Linked DNA regions of Canis lupus familiaris. The protein of the gene in region 2 interacts with the protein of the main gene of each other region in a pairwise test. Links are inferred from orthologs where the notes say so. Each region holds a gene or a part of one and is shown on either strand. Other genes may lie near its edges.

Region 1 (3,901 bases), on a different chromosome or scaffold from region 2:
GGAGGACTGAGAGGGGAGGCGTGGGATCACCCCGACTCCCAGCAACTCAATGTTACACATTCCAGGGGAGAGAAAAGAGAAGCTCTTGGAAGTGGAGCAAGGAGACAGCGAGGCATCCTGTCCTGCTGCCCATCCCAGAGGAATCAGAAAGGCCACTCTTCACACAGAAGGGACTGGGTGGGGCCTGACCAGAGGCCCTCTGCTCTGCATATGCTTCCAAGGGGAGGTCTGTGGTGTGCAGAAAATGTGTGTCTGTTGGGGGCCAAAGAGCCTTCACCTCTTGCTAGGGTGGGAGGGGGCAGCTGGGAGGGGAAGTTCCAGTCCTGGGGTTTCCCCACATCAGGTGGGGAAAATGAAAGCCAGAGCTAGAAGGTGGAGGCCAGGACAGCTGCCTTGGGGCATTTACTGCCCTGAAGGGGTAGTTTGGGTAAAGGCCTCTCTGGGCCCTGGAGGGGGCTGCTCAGGCCAGAGGAGGGTAAGGCTTGGTGGCAGGAGAGGCCCAGGAGAGAGTGGCGGAGGGAGGGAGGGCGGAGGAACCGCTCTGGAAATCCCCTCGGCCAGGGCCTGTTCTGTAGGTCACATTCCTGCAGCCACCTCCCTCTCTCCCTGTCTCCCCTCCTCCCACTTCCTCTTTCCACTTCCAGAAGGCCAGACACCTCTGAGGGAAGAGAGTGCCCCCTCCTCTCTTGGGACCTCCTGGGAAGTCCTGCCACCTCTTCTCCACCTCCCCCTGCCTCCTCTAAACACACCTGTCTCTAACTAGGTAAAGGCTGCAGCTGAGAGGCTGACAAAGGACAGCAGGGTCAGAAGTCTCCAATCCCTAGGCCAAAGGTCAGTCATAGGTATCCACATGGAGCGCCCCCCCCCCCCGCCCCCCCGCCCCATCTTGATTCTGTGCCTGAGGGCTGGTGATCTGGGCAGGTTACAAAAAGGCCTGGGGTCATTCCTGTCCCACCCACTGGGTCCACTGGCTATCTTTGTCAAAGGCTACCCAGGATTAGGACCTTCCCATCTCCAAAAAGCAGGTCAGGACAGATAACTCCAGCCTCCTCTACTCTCCCCACCCCTATTCGTTCCAGGATCCCTGATCTGGGACCCCAGCCCGCCCCACTCTGTTTCTCACCCCCAAATCCCAGCCACCTCCTCACCTGACACTGTTTCTTCTCCCTAAGGGGCAAATCTTCAAATGGCCAGTCCCTTCTACACAAAGTGCTTCTCTTACTTAAATTGCCTGTCCCCGCCCCCACCCCCACAGCCGCCAGGCCCAATCCCCACCAAACTTCATCTGGGCCCAAGAGAGGGAGGGTAAAATAAGGGAATCAGACAGGACAGTGAGGGGGACTTGGGGGATTCAGGAGGTGGAGGGTGTCGGTAAAGCTGACTCTAGCCCTCACTTCCCCTTTCAGAGCAGAGAAGGAAGTAAGCTGGGCAGCCAGCCGCCTGTCTGTCTGTCTGCTGGGGCAAGAGTGCCCCAGCCTGGCTCACCCCCTCTTCCTCACAGCTAGCCTCAGCTCTGCACCCTGGCAGCACCCTCATCCTAAGCTTCCTGACCGCCCCCCCCCCCCCCCACTCCTGCACTGGCAACCTGTAACTGGCACCTTTTGTTTCTTGACACAGGGTATTCTGAGGTCAGGGGCTGGGAATCCCAGATATTGAGCAAACAAAGATGCCTTCTCCCCCAGCAAGAAAAAAAAAACAAAAAAAACCTGGACTGGTCAGGGGACTTTTCCCTTCCAAGGGGCGGGTTACTGGGAGGTTTCCAAGCTGCTGGCTGGGGTTCCAGGTGTCTGGTAAGGGCCCTGTCAGCTGTGCCCAGCTCCCAAAGGGAGGGCAGAGAGATGATGCCAGGGCCTCCGGTCCGGGGCTGGCCAGAGCTCAAGAGCGGGCTGGGAGTGAAGCCTGGAGTTTGGAGGAGAGAGTGGGGACTGCCCCTTCCAGCGACCGTGTCGTGAGGGATCCGCACAGAGTGGGCCCCCGGCCTGCTGAGGATCCCGCAGGCCAGGGCTGAGCACTGATCGGAAGGGGTCCCCGCACAGCCTCGACAGACCCCATACTCACGTGTCTCCATCCTCGGAGATGTAGGTGAGCGCTTCCAGCTGCTGAGGGCTCAGCGCCCCCGCGGCCGGGAGCGGCGAGCGCGGGGCCGGGTCCTCGGCCTCCGGGCCCCCCAGCAAGGGCAGGGGCTCGGTGAGCGACGAGGAGCCGTAGGTGGAGTCGGTCCGCTCCGCGTCCGTGTCCTCCTTCTCGCGTGGCCCCTCGGCTGTTCCCGGAGGATGGGTCCAGGGCTGGGGGCCGCCGCCATCCGAGGGCCTGGAGGCTGGGGCCGGGGTGGGCTCGGGCAGGGAGCGCAGAGAGCGCAGGGACTCGATGCCCGAATCATACTGGCTCTCGTCTGTCTCGTCCGGCCCCTTCCGCGCCTCCGACATGCCAGGGGTGCTGGCCCGCGGGGGCTGGGGCCGAGCGGGATCCGGCTCCGGGCTCCGGGCTCCGGGCTCCGCCGCGCCGCCTTTCCGGGTTGCAGGTCCGCCTCGCAGAGCTGGCGCCCGGCCCGGGGTGGCCTCCTGCCCGGACTGCGGGGGCCCGAGGGGTCGGCGGGCGGCGCGGGCGAGGCTCGCAGCGCCGGCGGCTTCCACGGCAGCGGCTACTCCGGCCGCCGCACTGCCCAGTCGGACCCGCTCCCTCGCCCCGCCCCGGCCCCGCCCCGGCCCCGCCCCCGGCAGGCGCTTCCGGGCCGAGGCCCCGCCCCCCGGAATCCCCCTTGCCCCGCCCCCCGCGTTGGCTTCCACTCCGGGGTTACCCGGTCCTGAGTCACTCGTGCGTTAATTTACCCGTTCATCCATCCATCCATTTGTCCGACCACCCGCCATCCATCTATTCATTCATATTTCCCCCTTCTTCCTTCTTCAAGTCCATGCATTTTCTTTCTTTCCTTCCCTTCTTCATTTCTTCATTCATTTTTTCCCATTCATTCACTCATTCATTCGTTTTTAAAGGAATATTTATTAATCGTCTGCACAGGCTGCATACCACGCAGGGAGAGCATGTAGGTGATGGGATGGCAAAGCTCTGCTTCCTATCGCCTACCCATTTTTCTCAATTTCTGTGGTTTTCTCATCTATCCGTGCCCAGGAGTTTGGGTAGGGAAAGGGGATACCTATTACCCGTAAACGGGCAGTTCTCCCTTTGGGTCCTGGATAGAGGGTCTCCTGGGTCAACTTCCTAAATCACATAGAACTGGGTGTGAGGATTTTTTTTTAAGATTTATTTATTCATTCATGAAAGAGAGAGAGAGAGAGAGGCAGAGACATAGGCAGAGAGAGAAGCAGGCTCCTCGTAGGGAGACTGATGCGGGACTCCATCTCAGATCCCAGGATCACGACCTGAGCCCAAGACAGGTGCCCGACCGTTGGGCCACCCAGGCGTCCCTTGGTTTTGTTTTTTGAAAGTGAGTTTTCTCAGGCAAGCTCTTGTCTTAAAAAAAAAAAAAAAAAAAAAGCAGAGTGGTCATGTTTTTATTATCTAAAAAAAGCAGGGTGGTCATTCTTCACGAGGATGAAACACTGGTTCCAGGCGGTTACAACATCTGGTTACCCCTAGTGATCAGGGAAGTTTAGTTCCTCATGGTGGGGCCAGGATGGGGAGGCCCCAGACATCCTGGGTCATGCTCTGCTGAGGTCCTCACCACAGCCACAGCCACAATGCCAGCACATCTTTCCTCTTTCCCTGTCCCTCCTTTCCTTGGGCCTAAAGGGCCTACGGAGGTTATAGGCAAGCTCCTCCCCCATGGTGAGCTCCAACCCCATGCCCCATGACTCATCCCCTACTCCAAGTGCCATCAACCCAGGGGCAGCTATGACCTTAGAAGAATCATCCCCAATCATCTCTGGAAAGGAAGAAAACT
Region 2 (3,901 bases):
AGCAGGCTCCACAAAGCCCACGGTGCAGGCGCTGCCAGGTGGAGAGATCAGGTCGTCCCCCTTCGCCCCCACGGCGGTGGGTGGCTAATTAAAAAATGCTTATGCCGCGACCACCACCAAGAGGCACCTTTAGCGGTCAGAAGCCCCGTGGAGTTCGGTCACCTGGCCTTTGCGGGCGAATTAGGCCCGGGCCTTTCCCTGCGCAGGGCAGGCGGCCGCAGCCAGCAGTCCTGGCTGGGCTCCAGACCGGGCCCGGTGACATCACCAAACTCCTCCGATCAGCGGGAGGGGGCCCCCGAAATCCCCTAAAAACATTGTGAGTAATCACCGGGCCCGCCCTCCAGACGGAGCCCAGACCGGGGAGGGAGCCCAGCAGCCCTGCCAGCCCCGGAGCGGCGTCGGGACGAGCAGCCTCTTAGTCCCCGGAGCGGCGCAACCTGTCCCCAGCCTCGGGCCGTGGCGTCCGGCGCGCGGCCTCTCCGTCGTCGGCGCGGGGCACAGTTGCCCCCCGCCCCGCCCCGCCCCAGGGTGGCGGCGGCAGCGGCAGCGGCAGGGGCTGCGGCGGCCGCGGCGGCGGCGGAGGTGGCGCAGCGCGCAGGCGCGGCCGGATTCCCGGCAGTGACGCGGCGGCGGGCGCGCGCGGCGCATTTCCGCCTCTGGCGAATGGCTTGGCTGTAGCGCGCGCCGCGGGCCCAGCTGCGACCCCGGCCCCGCCCCCGGGACCCCAGCCATGGACGGTGAGGGCGCCCTCTGACCCCGCGGGGTGGGCGCGTCGGGGCCGCGGGGATGGCGACGGGAGCCCCCGCGCCGCCTTCCGCCCCTTCCTGCGCCGGCGGGTGCTGCGCAGGGAGCGGCCGGCCGGATGGTGGCGCGGGGCGGGGCGGGCTTTGAAGGGTCTGACTCAGTTTCCCCACTGGGTGGCGGGGTCTTGACTCCGTAATCTCCGGGGTGGCGGGGAGCTTCGGCCCAGCTTCACTCCGGGGCCCTGGGCGCAGGTCTGACTTCGTTTCCTCGTTAGGGGAAAGTGTATCCGACTCCGTTTGCTCTCAGGATGAGGCGTGGGGGTGCCCTCCGTAGTTTTCCTTTTGGAAGTAGAACAGCCTCTGACTCCGTTTCCCTCAGTAAGGAGAAGGCGCTCTGGCCAGTTTTCCCTCGGGAAACAGCTGTTTCTGCCTTCTTCACCCCTTCCCCTTAGTTTCACCGCAGGTTCCAGGGAGCGGGCCCTGCCCCAGTGCCCTTGGCGGGGAGGGAGCCTGGCGCTCTGTCCTCTCCGTGAGGAAGCAGGCGCTCCCCGGTAAGGACGGAAAGGGGGAAAGGGGGCTTGTGCTGATCCTTGTCTCCCTCCCTTTCAGACCTGTTTCCCCTCATCTTCCCAGCTGGTAAGTGGACCGCCTTCCCTCTCGGTGATTGGGGGAGGAGTGCCCTGGGGTTAGGGGCGAGGAGGGCAGCCGCCTGATTGGAGCTGGTCCGGGTCTGGCCACAGAGCCCGCCCAGGCCTCTGGCCCCTATGTGGAGATCATCGAGCAACCCAAGCAGCGGGGCATGCGCTTCCGCTACAAGTGCGAGGGCCGCTCAGCGGGCAGCATCCCGGGCGAGAGGAGCACAGACACCACCAAGACCCACCCCACCATCAAGGTCAGCATGACTGTTAGTGGTGGTGTGGGGGGCACAGGGTGGGTTTGCCGCCTCCAGGTGGGGGGTGGGGCTGGGTGCAGTGTCTGGGAGTTAGGTTTGGACTTCCCGGAGTCTCTAGAAGTTCTCTGTACTTTGAACAGATCAATGGCTACACGGGGCCAGGGACAGTTCGCATCTCCCTGGTCACCAAGGACCCCCCTCACCGGCCTCATCCCCATGAGCTTGTGGGGAAAGACTGCCGGGATGGCTTCTATGAGGCTGAGCTCTGCCCCGACCGCTGCATCCACAGGTGAACTCCTGACCAGCCGGGTATGGGGGGTGAGGTGAGGAGACGGGAGGCTGGGTGGGTGTGTAGCTGTTATAGTGTTACTCCATTCTGGACACTGGGAAGAATTCTTCACTTCTAGCTTTGCAAGCAGATTCTCTTTGCCTTGAAATCATCTGTGCATCTCAACTGTCAAGTAGATATGAGCTCCATGGGATAGGAATGGATCCCTAATAACCTCTGAACCCCCAAAGTAACTTCACTGATGAAAATAACATAGTTAGGTTGGAAGAATAGCCCACTGGTGGAGGGAAGGTCGGCAAGTTGGAGGTCAGGAAAAGCCTCTCTGTTAAGGCTTGAATAGTGAGGAGAGCAGAGAAGCATGGGAAAAAACATTTCAAGCAGAGTGAACAAATGCAAAGGTCTTGAAGTGGGGGTGAGTTTAGGGTGTTTGGGAAACAGAAAAGAAGCGGCTGTTACTGAGGGTAGGGAGCCCAGGCAGCAGGGCACAGATGCTTGTCAGCCAAGGTAAAGAGTGGGTTTCTTTACAGCACAATAGGAAGCACAGTGGTGATTTGGTGAATGGGGAGGGGAGGGAGGAACAGACTGGGCAGAGACAATGGGACTAATACATGGAGAGGGACTCAGCTTCCAGAACCTGGGGATCCAGTGTGTAAAGAAGCGGGACCTGGAGCAGGCCATCAGCCAGCGCATCCAGACCAACAACAACCCCTTCCAAGGTGAGGGCTGAGGGATCCCTGGGTGGCGCAGCGGTTTGGCGCCTGCCTTTGGCCCAGGGCGCGATCCTGGAGACCCGGGATCGAATCCCACGTCGGGCTCCCGGTGCATGGAGCCTGCTTCTCCCTCTGCCTATGTCTCTGCCTCTCTCTCTCTCTCTGCCTGACTATCATAAATTTAAAAAATAAAATAAAATAAAATAAAAAACAAGTTGAGGGCTGAGGGAGCAAAGGCTGAGACCTGTCCGAAGCACCCCCACCCTCTCTGGTTCTTCCAAGCCACCTCCCTTATTGGCCAAGACTCTTAGTACTGATGGAATTTTGCTGCCCATTCAGTACCCACTCCCATTTACCACTGGGGAAACTGGGAGCCAGTGAGGGGGCATAACACCCAGGGGCACAGGTGGGTCACACAGTTCAGTGATGGGTCTAGAATCTTCTCTCTCTCCTCCTTTAGGACTCCCACTGTTTGACACACCCTCAGACAATGCTCCCGGGTCCAGAGCTCCCTGCCCCCCTCATCCCCTGCCACGCCTCCCGGTCCCCTGACCGTCTATTCTTGTGGCAGTTCCCATAGAAGAACAGCGTGGGGACTATGACCTGAATGCGGTGCGGCTCTGCTTCCAGGTGACAGTGCGGGACCCGGCAGGCAGGCCCCTGCGCTTGTCACCTGTCCTCTCCCATCCCATCTTTGACAACCGTAAGTGACCAAGGAGCCATGGGAAGGGTAGAGGGAGGGACAAGCCTGTGAGGAGGAAGGGGTTGGTGGGGAATGGCCCACTAGAGGAGCTCTGGCTTCATGCAGGCATCTAGTGTATTTGTCACCTCTTCTGTGTCCAGCTCTGTGCTGGCTGTGGTGGGGGTTGGGGGGGGGGGCGGTTAATGAGACAAAGAAGACCTGGATCTGCCCTTAAGGTGTTAGCTTCAAGGCTGGCAGGAAGTCAGATAGAAGACAGGTACTTGGAATATGTGATGGGAGGATGGTGTGCCCGTAACTGTACTAACGACTCTGGGAAATGAACTCCTGGGAACAAGATGATGTTACAGAGTAGTACTTCAATGATGAAGCTCATAGGAAGTTCACAGATGGGGACGCCTGGGTGGCTTGGCAGTTGAGCGTCTGCCTTCAGCTCAGGGAATGATCCTGGAGTCCTGGGATCCTGGGATGGAGTCCCACATCAGGCTCCCTCTATGGAGCCTGCTTCTCTCTCTGCCTATGTCTCTGCCTCTCTATGTCTCTCATGAATAAATAAAATCTTAAAAA

The links.
Region 1: the proteins of RELA (region 2) and NFKBIE interact in binary tests that used the Homo sapiens proteins (3 or more experiments, as listed by UniProt). The link is inferred for Canis lupus familiaris from reciprocal best matches to the Homo sapiens genes RELA and NFKBIE.

What each region holds. Positions count from the first base shown.
Region 1 is NC_049233.1:12,864,591-12,868,491, forward strand, and holds the start of NFKBIE (NF-kappa-B inhibitor epsilon), read right to left. Parts: upstream 2,558-3,901; 5' UTR 2,427-2,557; coding exon 2,059-2,426; exon of another isoform or gene 1,770-2,058; intron 1-1,769. UniProt on the Homo sapiens protein: Sequesters NF-kappa-B transcription factor complexes in the cytoplasm, thereby inhibiting their activity. Sequestered complexes include NFKB1-RELA (p50-p65) and NFKB1-REL (p50-c-Rel) complexes.
Region 2 is NC_049239.1:52,051,016-52,054,916, forward strand, and holds the start of RELA (transcription factor p65), read left to right. Parts: upstream 1-1,036; 5' UTR 1,037-1,051; coding exon 1,052-1,121; intron 1,122-1,352; coding exon 1,353-1,379; intron 1,380-1,462; coding exon 1,463-1,635; intron 1,636-1,775; coding exon 1,776-1,924; intron 1,925-2,548; coding exon 2,549-2,640; intron 2,641-3,205; coding exon 3,206-3,337; intron 3,338-3,901. UniProt on the Homo sapiens protein: NF-kappa-B is a pleiotropic transcription factor present in almost all cell types and is the endpoint of a series of signal transduction events that are initiated by a vast array of stimuli related to many biological processes such as inflammation, immunity, differentiation, cell growth, tumorigenesis and apoptosis.